Linked DNA regions of Nothobranchius furzeri. The protein of the gene in region 1 interacts with the protein of each later gene in a biochemical or structural test. Links are inferred from orthologs where the notes say so. Each region holds a gene or a part of one and is shown in the gene's direction. Other genes may lie near its edges.

Region 1 (7,852 bases):
TGAGCTTTGCAGATGTGGGAAAATGTCATCAGGCAGTAATCGTTGTTAAATTCATAATTATTCTCGGAGAGAGACCAACTCTTATCTGCCCCTGGGAGCCCCGTAATGCATAGCGTCATTTCAACATGGCGGTGTCCGCGACACGGTTTATATGCAGGTAGCGGCGCTGCGGCTGCTTTATATAGCAACTCGTTGCATTCTCCCTCAACCCAAATCCTCGGATCACGCACTTTAGCTAAAACGCTAACGTTAGCTTGCCTTGCGTTGACTGTAGAGTTGTGGGTGATGGTCACGCAGATGTGTCATGAGATTTGAAGCGTTGCTGCCTTTCACAGACACTTTTTCTGCACGTGCTGCAAACAGGATAGCCGTCTTCTATCAGCTGTCCCTCGGCATTCTTCACATATCCAAAAGATGCCGTACTTCCCACTTTGTCTTTGAGGGATAATAAATGTCCTCCTGAGCGCTGCCGTCTCCTCCTTTGGCCATTATTTCAGCTTTAGCTTAAAGAAAGTTTTGGTTGTAAACAACAAAGTGCGCATGTGCCGCCGACAACTTCAGCAGATGATACGGTGGCTGGTAAGGGTCACCGCACCTACGGTAATCCACCGAGATAATATAGTTTTTTTTTTTTAAAACAAGACGGTTATTATTATTGTCAACTGTTTTACCGGGGTTTACCGCTACACCGGTTACCGTGACAACCCTACCTGATCGGTCTGCTTTGATCTATTTTGAAAACTCCGATCAAAACCGATTGGGGCGCTATCGGCAGACTGGGATCAAACGCCGATCCATCGGTGCATCCCTAATAAAAAGCCTAGTTCAGCTGTCTGCCATAAAGCCCGTGTTCTAACAGTAGATCAGTGTTAAAAATCTACTGATGAATCAGCCTTTCCCGTGTTTTGGTTAGAAGTTACCTGAAGTCAAACCCCTCCAGCTTTGCCCACTCGCGGCTGACCGTGTCACGAGTGTCCATTTCAGAGGGGCAGAGCGAACGTCCTCAGCTGATCTTGCTCGGCCTGGGCAGCGGTCCTCACGGCTGTGCTGCGCTGCGGGAGAACAGGCCCAGGTTGGACTAGTTTACTCAGGAGAACCACGGGAAGGTTCTAACTCGTGTTGTTATGCTGCATGTGAATGCAAACAGAACTGTGTTAGTAACGTGTGCATCGGCCTCGTCTGTTTTCCTTCAGCCGATGGAGGTGTTTGTGGACGACGAGACCAAGCTGACACTGCATGGCCTACAGCAGTATTACTGCAAGCTGAAGGACAGCGAGAAGAACAGAAAGCTGTTCGACCTCCTTGACGTGCTCGAGTTCAACCAGGTGTCCTGTGACTTTTCTTTCTTTTATTTGCATAAAATGGCTTTGTGTCCGTGAAGTCTTCCCTGTGTTTTCATTTAAACAAACGTTTAGTCTCTTGCTTTAAAGGCCCTATAAATAAATAAACAAACCCGGAACCTTTTCCCCTTCTATTGTCGTGTTGGCTGATAAAACACCGAAGCCTTGTGGACTTAAGGGTCTCCTCTGGTTCCTGACAGGTGGTGATCTTTGTGAAGTCCGTGAATCGTTGCGTGGCGCTGTCCCAGCTGCTGGTGGAGCAGAACTTTCCCGCTATAGCGATCCACAGGGGCATGGCGCAGGAGGAGAGGTGGGGCTGCTTCTGAAGAAGAGTGTTTGAATCTGTAAACCTGTTCCCTAATGCGTCCGCCCTCCTCCAGGTTATCTCGGTATCAGCAGTTTAAAGACTTTCAGAGGAGGATCCTGGTGGCGACTAACCTGTTTGGTCGAGGCATGGACATCGAGCGAGTCAACATCGTCTTCAACTACGACATGCCTGAAGATTCTGACACCTACCTTCACAGAGTCAGTTTAGCTTTAATACGGTGGCGGTGACACAGATTGGTTTGTTTGTTTTTACAAAACCAAAGAAGCCTAATGATGGTTGGATTGTTTAAATATTTATAATTATTTAAAGAATCTTAAAAACGTGTTGAAATTTCTTTTGAGTCCCGACGTTCTTCTGTTGACCCCTAGGTCGCCCGTGCTGGCAGGTTTGGAACTAAAGGCCTGGCCATCACCTTTGTGTCAGACGAGGCTGACGCCAAAACCTTGAACGAGGTCCAGGACCGCTTCGAGGTGAATGTGGCTGAGCTTCCAGAGGAGATCGACATCTCCTCCTACAGTAAGTGCTCGTGCTCACAGGGGTGGTCCTACTTTTGTCAAAGGGAGTGGTAGTGTGATAGTTTTCTGTTGCGTGACGACATCAGGGAGCCGTAGGTCGTTTAAGTGGTCAGACCGTGGCGCAACTATGTCCCTTTTATAAAATATTAGGCGATGGTGGCATAAAGGCGGTATGGGATCAGTCTCTGCGATGCCACAGACTTCCATTTAACTTGGAAATAACTTTATTTCCATTATGATTGAAGCCGCAATCGTCATGTTTTTAACAAGCTGCTCCTGAAGATGTCTCTCCGTCAGTCCTTGTGCCGTCTCTGGTGGTGTGAGCTTCAGCTCTAAAGGAGAGAAACTCTAGGAGCACTGCAGCGCTCCAGTGTGCCATCTCAAATTAATGAATTAATGCATCTGAACTCATGCAGTAGGAACTAGGAAATATGAAATACTAGAACCATTTTATTTTAAAATGATTAAACAGATTTTTTCCTAACGTTGTGGGCATTTTCCCCACACAGTTAAAAAAAACAATGTTGATTATGGTGTGTGTGTGTGTGTGAGAGAGAGGGAGTTGAAAATTTTAAAATCCGACCAGAGCGGAGGCAGTGACCGATGCATGCACGAGCCGTTTTCAGCTGTGTCTTGTCAAATGCACCACGTACGTTACGAAAAAAGTAACTTTAAATATTCAACCGAAAAAGAGGCGAGCTGAAGAAAACCTAGGGAGCATACAACGAATGCCTTCAAGAACGAATTGATAAGACAGACATGGGAGGAAGTGTACCAGCAAACTGATGTTGACAAGGCTTATGAGACCTTTGTAAGAATATTTATTTCATTGTATGTTAAGAATTGTCCCTTAACAAAATGTAGTAGCTCAAACACAAGGGATAATCAACCGTGGATGACGAAGGGGATAAAGTGTGCCTGCAAAAAGAAAAATAATTTTTACAGGTTGTTTATAAATAAAAAAAACTCCAGAAGCTGAACATAAATATAAAATATATAAGAATAAGCTTACCAATATAGTAAGAAAATGTAAAAAGGAGTATTATTATAAAAGTTTGAATAATGCTAAACATGATATTAGAGAAGTGTGGAAAATATTAAATAATGTAGTTCGACCAAATTTAGGTCATGATAAATTTCCGAAATATTTTGTTGAAAACAGTGTTGTAAAACATGATTATGGTGATGTGGCTGATAGCTTTAATAAATTCTTTGTAAATATAGGACCGTCATTGGCAGAAAACATATCTAGCTCATCTACATCACATACACCATTCTTAAAACAAATCAAACCTAATCCTCATTCCATGTTTCTTTCAGCTGTAGAGGAACAAGAAATAATACAAATTGTAAAAACATGTAAAGGTAAAACATCAACTGACAGTCATGGCATTGACATGATGACGGTAAAAAAGGTTATAGAAGGAATTTCAAAACCACTTGCATATATTTGCAATTTGTCTTTTCAATCAGGTGTATTCCCAAAACTAATGAAAGTTGCTAAAGTTATACCAATATATAAAACCGGGGATAAGCATCAATTTACGAACTATAGGCCAATTTCATTGCTTCCACAATTTTCCAGGATTCTTGAAAAACTGTTTAATAATCGACTCGAAATATTTTTGGATAAATACAAGATAATATCAGACTGTCAGTATGGATTTAGACCGAATAGTTCAACATCACTAGCTCTGGTGCATTCTGTGGAAGAAATTACAACGTCAATTGATCAGAAGAAACATGTTCTGGGGATATTTATTGATTTAAAAAAGGCTTTTGATACAGTTAACCCTTGTATTATGTTGAAAAAAAATCACATTGGTTATGTTGCGGGTCATTTTGACCCACCCTGTCTAAATTCACTTAGAACTGTAAAAAAACTGCAATAAAACAGGAACTTTATTTTCCATTAGAAAAAACATTTAAAACACAGACACACAATAAAGTTTGAATATCCAGAACTATTTGTAAGAACTAGTTAGTAAAAGTTTTCCTTCTTTACAAACACTTTTATTTTTCTCAGATTTTCAATGTTCAACATTTTCAGTGTTGTCCACATGATGGACAGAGTGTAACTGTGTGCTTTCTGCAAATGCACTTCTTGCACTTCTCACAAACGGTGCTTGTTTTAATGTCTTATCGTGAGGGACAGACCTGGCATCTTTTTCGTTTCTTTGCACCTGTATCCACTGGATTCATTGTACATTGGTCAGATGATGCAGACCTGACGTTTTCAATGAGAGCTGCTGCTGCTGGGGATCGAGCTGGTCTGGCTCGCCTCTGGATCTCGGGGGTGACAAGACTTTTTCCCAGTTCTTCCAGGAAAAGCCGACGTCGGTACAGTTTGCCGACATTCCAATGTTGGTTGATTTCAGTCCACAGGACAAAGGCACTGTAAGCTGACACATCCACAATGTTGTAGAAAATCACCAAGGGCCAACGAGCTGTTTTGCGCTGGCAGCTGTATGTTGCTGTGACTTTGTCAAGATTGTCTACTCCTCCTTTGGTGGAGTTGTAGTCCAGGATCATTTGTGGTTTTTTGTCTTCTCTTGTGCTCAGAGATGCATCTGTGTGCATTGTGCTCATGACAAGAACATTTTTGTTTTTCTTTGGGCAGTATGAAACAACTGTTGCTTTCTCGGTGAAAACAAATTTTGAGGAATTTGGAGGTCTTCCCTGCATCTTCAGAATTTCACTGGGAAGTTCTGGTTTATTTTTCCTGATTGTTCCCAACATAGTGAGCTTTCTTTTCTGAAGTTCATCTCCAAGCCAGTAGGATGTAAAGAAGTTGTCACAGGTGATGTTATGCCCTTGCAGCCCTTCACTCATCTGCAGCACCACACGCATCCCCTGATTCTTCTCAGATGCCTCTCCAGGTAGCTTTCCGGTGTACACCTGCATATTCCATGCATAGCTAGATTTAGCATCACAAGCTGCCCATATTTTGATGCCATACTTGGCCGGCTTGTTGGGCATATACTGTCGGAAAGGACAGCGGCCCCTGAATGGAACAAGGCGCTCATCTACAGTCACATGGGGACCAGGGTTGTACAACAAAGGTAGAATCTCCACCCATTTATCCCATACATCTCTGATTGCAGCAAGTTTGTCTCTTTCACAGCGACTGGCTCTGGTTTCACGGTTGTCAAATCGGATCACACGAGATATCTTGTGAAATGTCTCAAGAGACATTGTTGCACGAAAGATCGGCCTTCCATTCTCTTCATTCCATAGACTTGCATTTGCTTCTCCCTTTGACCTGTATACTCCAGCTAATACCAGGACTCCAATATAAGCATGCAAGTCAGTCAGATCCATGGGCTTCCATTTCTGTTGAAATACACGCCTCCCCTCCAAGTTAGTCATGTCCAGTATAATCTTTTCTATTGGAGAGGGTATGAAGAGATGAAATGCTGAATGGATATTATCAACTCGTGTGACTGCAAATCTTGTAGGACCAGGTGTCATTTTGATGACATTAGCAGATGACAGTCTGCCTCGACTTCGGTGTGGTGATGTTGACCATTTTATTTTACCATCTTTAGATGTCCATGCCCCCTCTGTAGATGATGATTGCTGCATTCCTTGGTTTTCACTTGATGAAGCGATGACAGAAGACTCCTCTTTAGAATCCTCATCAGAAAATTGGTAGTCTGGATCATCAGTAACATTGTCCTCAGCCTCTGAAAAATCCTCTGTCTCTGAAACATCTTCTTCGTCATTGCTATGCCAGTTAAAAAGCTGAGATAAAGCTTCTTCAGCTGTCAACCTTCTAGAGCTCATTTTTGGTGTGTTGAAATCACATGAGATCAGTTACAAGAACAGGGCAGAAAAAGTTTCTCGCGCACACACCTGGGCCTCTGGGTGTGAATGTATATTCAGAAGCAATCACAACATAGCACATCAAAGAGTCATGTTTATTTTTGTTCTGAACAGCTTTTTACTCACATTAAAGTGTGTGGGTCAAAATGACCCGCAACATAATTTTTGTATACAAAAACTGCTAAGACTTCCCAGGACACATCAAAGTGTCCATATTTCTCATACCAGTTCATGACCCCAGATAAGAAAAAGTCATAAAGTTTCATTAAGAAAAATAGAAGATGATCAGCGCTATGGTCAACACAAAAACTGGAACGGGTCAAATTGACCCGTAACATAATAAGAAGGTTAATCATAAAATGTTACTTGAAAAGGTAGAGAGGTATGGGGTTAGGGGTGTAGTGTTGAGCTGGTTGACAAGCTATCTACAGCAGAGGAGACAGTTTGTGAAGTTTGGAGAATGTTCATCTACATGGTTGCACATTGTTTGTGGAGTACCACAGGGGTCTGTGTTGGGTCCAAAATTATTTTTATTATATATTAATGATTTGAGTAATGTAACAAATACACTGACATTTGTTTTGTTTGCCGATGATACCACTATTTTCTGTGCAGGAGATAATATTAGCGAGTTAGAAAGGATGGTCCAAATTGAAATGTGCGTCATTAAAGAGTGGTTTATTGAAAATAAGCTTACATTAAATATAGCAAAAACAAAATGTATGTTGTTTGGTATGGCTAATAAAACTGAGGTTAAGCTGCAAATGGATGGATGTGAAATTGAGCAAGTAACAGAACATAAGTTCCTTGGAATAGTAATTGATAATAAATTAAGTTGGAAACCACAAATTAAACATGTATATAATAAGGTTGCGAGAAGCATCTACATTATGAATAAAGCTCGGCAGTACTTGGATTATAAATCACTCCATGTCCTTTATTATTCATTGATTTATCCCTATCTTATTTACTGTGTAGAGGTATGGGGTAACACTTATAACACATCTATTGTACCCTTGTCTATCATACAGAAAAGAGCCCTGAGAGTCGTTCACAATGTTAGATTTAGAGAACACACTCATCCGTTATTTATATATTCTAAATACTAAAATTTAAAGATTTAATTCAGCTATATGCAGCGACATTCATGTTTAAAGTGCATAGGAAATTATTACCAAACAAATTATTAATGCTATTTATAAAACCAGATAACGTATATAATTTCAGATACAAACTTAACTTAAGGCATACATATTTTAGAACAACAATAAAGTCATTTTGTATTTCTGTTACGGGTGTAAGAGTTTGGAATAAGCTAGGTGAGGATCTAAAGCAAAGTCCCTCATTGCAACAGTTTAAAGAGAAGTATAAAAAATTATACTAATTAATTACATGGAGGAGGAGGAAAAGTTGTAAGGGTGTTGCATTTGATTGTAATTGTCTATTGTTGGTGAACTGGGAGCTGTGAACACGGTGGGGTGGGGGGGTGGGGGGGGTGGGGGGTTGAAACATGAGAAAATGTAAATTTTGTTTGTGTGATTGAGGATAAAACATGTTATAGGAAAATGGCAATGACACTCAGTGTAGGGAAAATATATATATTTTTTTGTTTTATCTTTCTTGAAATTTGATTTGGGGGGGATTATATAAGCTACCAGAGCTTCGTTCCCTTCCCATTGAACATGTTCTACATATATGTGTGTATATCTATCTATCTATCTATCTATCTATCTATCTATCTATCTATCTATCTATCTATCTATCTATCTATCTATCTATCTATCTATCTATATATATAGATATATATATAGATATATATATCTATATATACATGTATATCTATA
Region 2 (8,342 bases), on another chromosome or scaffold:
TCCATATCATTGGTCCCACTGCTGCCCTGTTTAAACCTCTTTTTGAACAAAGTCAGCATTCACAGTAAATCCTGATTAGATGTCTTTCATCTGTCAGCATGCAGACCGTGAACCCTGTAAGTCCCTGGAATAAAATCCTGGGACCCTTAGCTTCATGTTTCATTCCTTAATCTTCTGAGTGATTTCTGTAACGCTCAGTGAGACTTCTCACCTGTCCACAGGTCTTCTGAGCAGCTCCTCGTGAGCCAGCTGCTCCAGCTGTCTCTGGATAATTTTGTCTAATATTGAAATTTGACAGTGATGACACTTTCATCTGCCTCCTGCATCGGGCCTTCTCACACCTGGGGAGCACCACATTCTTTTGCCTCTCCAGTAACTTTAAAACAGTCCAGTCCTGGGTATTGAGGGGAAACATGAAGGGACCATGAGGGAACCATCATTTGTCCGTGTAGATCATTGACTACCTAACCAGGAGACCCCAGTGTGTGAGGTTACTGGACTTTGTGTATGAGGTGGTAGCCTGCAACACGCAAGCTCTAGAAGGATCTAAACATTGGCGGTTTTAAACAGGGGCCCACAGGGGCCTGGGCCCCTATAGAACCGGCCCTGGACCCTGTTATGGCCCCTGTGCTGAAGAGATCGGATTTTTTCCCCCCGCGCTGCCTCGGAGACGGGAACTAATGCGCTGCAGTGTTTCACACGGAGCCTTTAGAGCGCAGCACACTCTGTGGACAGAACTGTTTACCTGGTGGATTTTTGAATAAAAGATTAAAAATAGTTTAAATGGGACCCGAAGAAATTCTTGAGGACGACTAACGGAAAAGACGCTAAGAGACGAAGGCAAGCAATACAGTTTATTTTCCTGACATCAATGAATTTCCTTTGGCAAAATTGTGCACAAGCTCAAAATTAGTAATATGGCGATGACAAAAAAGAATTTTGATATTGCCCTAATTTTTCCCTTTTTTTCTTGCGCCCCCATGAAAAAATACTGGCCCCACTGTGGCCCCCCTGGAAAATTTGGCCTGGAACCGCCCCTGGATCTAAACTCACCTTGTCCCTCTTTACCCTACACTGCAGACTTTGGTTAAAACACAGACACTCACAATCTCCAGAAGTTCATGGACAACACTGCCACTGTTGGTCATGTGTCAGAGAGGAGAAAACTGGAATACAGGGGGTCATCAACGGCTTTGTCAGATGGCTAGAGAAGACCCGCCACTGAGTTGGTAAGAGGTTACCCCCATGTTACACAAGCGAGCGTCCAGGGCGTGGACACTGAACGGTGAAGTGTAAATATCTGGGTGGCTGTTCACCTCAACAACAAACCAAACTGGTCCACATGTACGGATGCGCTCTAAGACAAGGGTCTAAGTCCTCACCTACAAAGACAGCTGAGATTTTTGGGGTTAACAGGACTCTTGCAAAAAACTTCTGGTAGCACATGCTGTGATCGGACAGTGATCTCCAGCTTTCGCTGGAGCGGTTCGCAGCCGAGTGTGAAGCGGCTGCAATGAGAATCAGCTCCTCTAAATCCGAGACCATGGTCTTAAACCGGAAAAGGGTAGAATGCCTTCTCCGGGTCAGGGGTGAGGTCCTGCCTCAAGTGGAGGAGTTTAAGTATCTCTGGGTCTTGTTCAAAAGTGAGGGAAAACTGGAGCGTGATAGGCGGTTTGGTGCTGCATCTGCAGCGATGCGGGCGTTGTACCGCTCTGTCGTGGTGTAGAGAGAGCTGAGTTGGAAGGCAAAGCTCTCGATTTACCCGTCGATCTACGTTCCTACCCTCACCTACGGTCACGAGGTTTGGGTAATGACCGAAAGATACAAACAAAGCAAAATTAGTTTTCTCCGCAGAGTGGCTGATAGGGTGAGAAGCTCGGTCATCCGGGATGGGCTCGGAGTAGACCTGCTGCTCCTCCACATTGAAAGGAACCAGTTGAGGTGGCTCAGGCATCTGGTGAGAAAGGCTCCTGGACGCCTCCCTGGTGAGGTTTTCCAGGCATGTCTAATTGGGAGGAGACCCAGGACACACTGGAGGGACTATGTCTCTCGGCTGTCCAGGGAATGTCTTAGGATTCACCCGGAAGAGCTGGCTCAAGTTGCTGGGGGGAGGGACGTCTGGGCTTAGGCTGCTGCCCCCGTTAGAAGAACAAGTACATGCAGATAGGCAGTAAGCTAGTATTGTAACCTTCAACCACTAAAATCCAAGAATAAAAAATGGAAAACTTGGGCTCCAGAATTACGCAGCATTCTATAAATGTAAATCTGGTGTTCCACAAGTATTGAACACTTGCTGAGTGTTGCATTGATGTTAATGTGAATTGTGAGGAGGTGCAAAGGTAAACTTAGCAGACTGGTCAGGAGGGCCAGTTCTGTCCTGGGCTTCCCGCTGAGGTCCATCAAGCAGGTTGGGGAGGAGAGGATGTTGTCCAAGCTGACATCCATCATGGACAACCCAACTGGCTGCATAATACAAGAGCACTGAGCAGCACATTCAGCAGTAGACTTTTATATCCCCTATGTAAAGAAGCATGACTGCAGGTCACACGTGTCAGGTTCTTCAGTACAGTTAAACATTATGAAGCGATTTAGCATATTTTTGACTGGCACACTGGCATCTGCTTGTGTGGCTTATGTGTAAATGGACATCTGTGTAAATAGAAAGGTGATTTGTTCTATATTCCTCGCTGTCATGAGAGCTCTGTAACACCAATGATTCTCATTCCTGTGATAAAAAAGCTTTAATCGTGTCAACTTGTTCTCTGACATAAATCATTTAAATGAGTCAAAGTGTTGTTGACCAAAGGGAAAGTGTACTCAAATACGTTTAAATAACAGTAAATGAAATGGCCTTAAACGTCACTTGTTTTAAAATCCCAGTAAATGTCCATCTTTCTCTCTTTGTCTCTTGTGAGCCATCAGAGGAACAAGAAAACGGTGTTGCCTAGCAACAAGAACATCTCTGTCTCCCGCTGTCAGCAGTGGTCCAGTAAGACAAAGGGAAAGATAATTTATTAATTTCATGCATGAATCATGATAACCAGTCAGTCTGGGCTTTACCTAAATCAACCTTCATCTAAGAAACACTTTGAACTTTAATTTTTTATAATGTTTTGTTCATTTTGTGTATTTCATCCAAAGAACTTACTTGGGTATTTTCTCCGAGGAAGATGGTAAATGGCCTGTAATTGATATAGCACATTCTAGAGTCCTGGAACCCCCCAAGGAGCTTTACAACACAATCAGTCACCCAATCACAGACACATTCACACTAACAACACTACAGTGTTTGTCAAAATGTCATCAACAAGGTAAAAACAACTGTTGCTGTGTTAAAAAAAAGAACCAAGTAATGTACATGAATCAACAACACTGAGCTGTATTTTTATTTTTTAGGAAAACAATGTTTACATTCTTATCTACAGAAATAACGTTCTATAGTCCATTGTCATGGCATAAGTCCAGCTACAACTTTAAATTCACTGTTCATCCCCTGTGTAAACGTATAAAGCTCGAAGAATTTTACCTGCAAAAGGTCAGTGTCCAGCAGGGGGCAGTGTGAGAAGACAGCGCGCAAGTGGTGGAGCTCAGAATGAGAGGAGCTAGTCTTTTGATTGGAGGAAGACTTACGTCAACAAAGAAAGATGGCGGAAGTGGTGGAACTGCATAAACTGAAGGTTGGTAGCGACCTAAAATTACGATTTTAGTTTGATTTCACACCTTTATAAGTGACGGATGGGTGTTGATTTCTGTTTATTACAGAATGACGTAGTGGGTTCAGGGTAAATGGGATTAGAGGTTAAATCGTCTCGTCTGTGTGTGAAGGCTGAAAGCCGGCGTCGTGTGTCCGAGGAGCTACCGCTGCTAGCGCGCCGAAACATGTAGCTTTGCAACATGGGACGGTCCAACATATGATTTTATCAAGATATGACTAGATTAACGAAAAATAAAATAAATGATGGCATGATTAAATCAACCAGTGTTCAGTAGGGTCAGGTAACTATCAAATATTTCTCACGCTGTTAGATTTTACAGATCATCTGGTGGAGCAAATTATCTAATAAAAACAAAAATCTTGATTTGGAAAAATAAAATCCAGTACTTTTATAGAATAAAATAGTCACTGAAATGATACATTTTAAAGCATTTCTGTTCTCATCATCCAGTAAAACCGCAAACCCTTCTGGCATATAAACAGGGTTAGCAGATCCAGAAGCTGCTCTGTTTTAAACCAGGTTCATCATTTGTTTTGTACAGCGTCCATTTCTACGCACACAAAACAAGCCTGTTTACAAACGGCTGCAACTCAAATGTTGACATTTGCCAATGATCCTAAAGAGGCTGCTGACTAGACTACTTTACTTACATTTTAAATGATTTAACATGTTTTCCTTCCCCTTCTTCTCATGACGCAGCTTGCTGAACTGAGGCAGGAGTGTGATGCTCGAGGTCTGGAGACCAAAGGGAACAAAGGAGAGCTCATCGCCCGACTCCAAGCATACCTAGATGAGCACGGTGAAGGTACTTTCAGTTCACTTCTCTTTATTCACACACACACACACACACACACACACACACACACACACACACACACACACACACACACACACACACACATCTTCCATTCATTTCTGTGACTGTATAACCATTACCAATGCTGATCTATTCCTAACCCTAACTAAAACTTAATTCACACCATACCTCTAAAACCAACTGGTAAGCTTCTAAAAAAAATTAGGACCAGAAAAATGTCCTCACTTTGTAGGGAAAATGGTACAAATGGTCCTCAGTAGGTGGTGTGTACAAGAGCACACACTCACACACACACTCACTCACACTCACTTACTCACACACACTCACTCACTCAGTCATTCACTCTCGCACACACACACACACATTTGCATTGCTACTCATGTGGAGATCTGACATTGACTACCATTCATTTTAGTGACTGCATTATTATGCTTGTCCCTAAAAGATGACATTAACAGTCTCTTGTTTTATTGACATTGTTGTGTGTATTTTAAGCAGGGTGGTTTTGTAAAGTCTGTAATAATTAGAAGCACATCTGCTTTAATTAGAAACACGTCTGTAATAATTAGAAACACGTCTGTAATAATTAGAAACACATCTGTAATAATTAGAAACACGTCTGTAATAATTAGAAACACGTCTGTAATAATTAGAAACACATCTGTAATAATTAGAAACACATCTGTAATAATTAGAAACACATCTGTAATAATTAGAAACACATCTGTAATAATTAGAAACACATCTGTTATAATTAGAAACACGTCTGTAATAATTAGAAACTCGTCTGTAATAATTAGAAACTCGTCTGTAATAATTAGAAACACATCTGTAATAATTAGAAACACATCTGTAATAATTAGAAACACGTCTGTAATAATTAGAAACACATCTGTAATAATTAGAAATACGTCTGTTATAATTAGAAACACGTCTGTAATAATTAGAAACACGTCTGTAATAATTAGAAACACGTCTGTAATAATTAGAAACACGTCTGTAATAATTAGAAACACGTCTGTAATAATTAGAAACACGTCTGTAATAATTAGAAACACGTCTGTAATAATTAGAAACACGTCTGTAATAATTAGAAACACATCTGTAATAATTAGAAACACGTCTGTAATAATTAGAAATACGTCTGTTATAATTAGAAACACGTCTGTTATAATTAGAAACACGTCTGTAATAATTAGAAACACATCTGTAATAATTAGAAATACGTCTGTTATAATTAGAAACACATCTGTAATAATTAGAAACACGTCTGTAATAATTAGAAATACGTCTGTTATAATTAGAAACACGTCTGTTATAATTAGAAATACGTCTGTTATAATTAGAAACACGTCTGTTATAATTAGAAACACGTCTGTAATAATTAGAAACACATCTGTAATAATTAGAAACACATCTGTAATAATTAGAAACACGTCTGTAATAATTAGAAATACGTCTGTTATAATTAGAAACACGTCTGTTATAATTAGAAACACGTCTGTAATAATTAGAAACACATCTGTAATAATTAGAAATACGTCTGTTATAATTAGAAACACATCTGTAATAATTAGAAACACGTCTGTAATAATTAGAAATACGTCTGTTATAATTAGAAACACGTCTGTTATAATTAGAAATACGTCTGTTATAATTAGAAACACGTCTGTTATAATTAGAAACACGTCTGTAATAATTAGAAACACGTCTGTAATAATTAGAAACACATCTGTAATAATTAGAAACACGTCTGTAATAATTAGAAATACGTCTGTTATAATTAGAAACACGTCTGTTATAATTAGAAACACGTCTGTAATAATTAGAAACACATCTGTAATAATTAGAAATACGTCTGTTATAATTAGAAACACGTCTGTAATAATTAGAAACACATCTGTAATAATTAAAAACACATCTGTAATAATTAGAAACACGTCTGTAATAATTAGAAACACATCAGTTGTCTGTATTATGTTCTTTACTATTGGAGTGAACACTGTGTTTGAGTCTTTTGGCTATTCCTGTGTTTGAAAGACTCCTGAACTTCTGGCTCCTTTGGTCTTTTTTTTACAGATTTGTGTCCCATTTACTTTCTGTCTTCGTCATTTACACAGAGCATAGTCTCAGCGTGGTGTCCCACAATAAAAACTATCCCTGTGAAACAAGTAACTACTCAGCCTTAGACTTCCCCTTGGTTTAAAAGCGCTGAGTCTAATACTTTAGTAATTTAATGAATTGTTTCAGCCCAATAAACCAGCAGCATGTCGTCCTCAGACTGAACTAGATCAGTCACAAACTGGACTTTTCCCACAGATGGATCATTTTAAAAACCCTAAAATCATCCAACTGAGTCATTTCTAAGTTCCATTCAGGCTAAACTCCAGTTGTGTTCAGTTACACAAATGTAGGTTGTTTTCTTATCTTGCTGGTTTCTTTGGGTTCGCGTCCAAATGTCCTTGTCTTGTGTTTTTATTTGCAGAGGAAGATGTGGACTTAGACGATGTGCTGGCAGAGGACACGGCGGTAAAATGATTGATTATATTCTGACTATATTCTGTAGTCTGTTCTCTTGTTGTCAAAGATGTAGATTTATATTTGCAAAGGAAGACTTAAAGTTTCTATTTTCCTTTTAGGACTTCACTAAAGTTGAGAGTTCCAACACGGTGAAAGTGGACGAAGACACTGAAACGACTGCGAGTGAGATGTAAGTCCTTTAAATTTCATTTATCAATTTAACAAAGACGACCGGCGGGTTTTAGAGGTCCTCATCTGTGCCCCAGACAAGCTGGTTCCCAAAGTCAGAGACTCTCTTGGTCAGCTTGCTTCTCACACCAAACCCTTTGTCAGGAATCTTGATGTGACCTTTGACCCACCCTCTCACCCTGGATTCTCATGTCAGTTTTTTGTACACCCTTCAATTAGGGCTGAACAATTAATTGCATGTGCAATTAAATCACGATGTGACAAAATTAGATTTTCTAATCGCAAAGGCGATTTGACTGGCAGTGAGTGTTTAGCACAATGCTAATAAACATGGAAAAACCCATAGGGATGCTAATGCTAATATTGCTGATTACATTCTTACAAATTACAAATTAGGAACATGCCAAATGATTACATTTGAAGTCTAATAAAAAGTAAAAACTGCCATCAATCAAATAAGTACAGACAGATATTTTAGGAAAGCTAGAAAACTGTAAGAGACTTTAACTCCACTGAGCTTTGGCTAGCAGCTATGGACTTAGCTGAACTATGGAAGCTCTGCATGGACAAAACGCCAAAAATTCTAAACACAAAAGACTTCAGTAAACGGGACACACTTCTTTCCTGCAAATACATTCTCACAGGTGTTGCTAATACCTATGCTCCTTCAGGGGATGTGCTCCTCGCTGCAAAGCATCGCAGCTTCAAATACAACATTTTGTCTTTACTTGTGCTTATGTAAACTTGTTTTTATTCATTACAAGTCACATAGATTTATTTTGCGTCCGTTGGTTGAAAAATATGAGAAAAGCCCCTTGAGAAAATAATCATGAATTAAATTGCAATATTGAAGAAAAAAATCGCAATTAGATTATTTTCCAGAATCGTTCAGCCCTGTTCTCCACACCTTCATCTCCTCACGCTTAGACTACAGCAACTCTCTTTTCACGTGTCTGAGCAGAACCTCCCTGAACCGTCTGCAGGTGGTTCAGGACGCCTGTGCTCGGCTTCTGACTAAAGCTGCTTTCACACTGCATGCAGAACACATGCGGTCTGGTTTCCGCACGGCTTCTGCGTGGACCAGAACTGCTCGAGTCCAA

Evidence for each region.
Region 2: the proteins of ATP-dependent RNA helicase DDX39A (region 1) and sarnp form a complex in vitro, tested with the Homo sapiens proteins (2 studies listed by BioGRID). The link is inferred for Nothobranchius furzeri from reciprocal best matches to the Homo sapiens genes DDX39A and SARNP.

Annotation. Positions count from the first base shown.
Region 1 is NC_091747.1:68,852,543-68,860,394, forward strand, and holds part of ATP-dependent RNA helicase DDX39A, read left to right. Parts: intron 1-1,193; coding exon 1,194-1,325; intron 1,326-1,540; coding exon 1,541-1,650; intron 1,651-1,720; coding exon 1,721-1,865; intron 1,866-2,036; coding exon 2,037-2,184; intron 2,185-4,005; exon of another isoform or gene 4,006-6,198; intron 6,199-7,852. UniProt on the Homo sapiens protein: Helicase that plays an essential role in mRNA export and is involved in multiple steps in RNA metabolism including alternative splicing. Regulates nuclear mRNA export to the cytoplasm through association with ECD.
Region 2 is NC_091755.1:36,666,849-36,675,190, forward strand, and holds the start of sarnp (SAP domain-containing ribonucleoprotein), read left to right. Parts: upstream 1-3,569; 5' UTR 3,570-3,644; coding exon 3,645-3,677; intron 3,678-4,415; coding exon 4,416-4,521; intron 4,522-7,018; coding exon 7,019-7,062; intron 7,063-7,172; coding exon 7,173-7,243; intron 7,244-8,342. UniProt on the Homo sapiens protein: Binds both single-stranded and double-stranded DNA with higher affinity for the single-stranded form. Specifically binds to scaffold/matrix attachment region DNA. Also binds single-stranded RNA. Enhances RNA unwinding activity of DDX39A.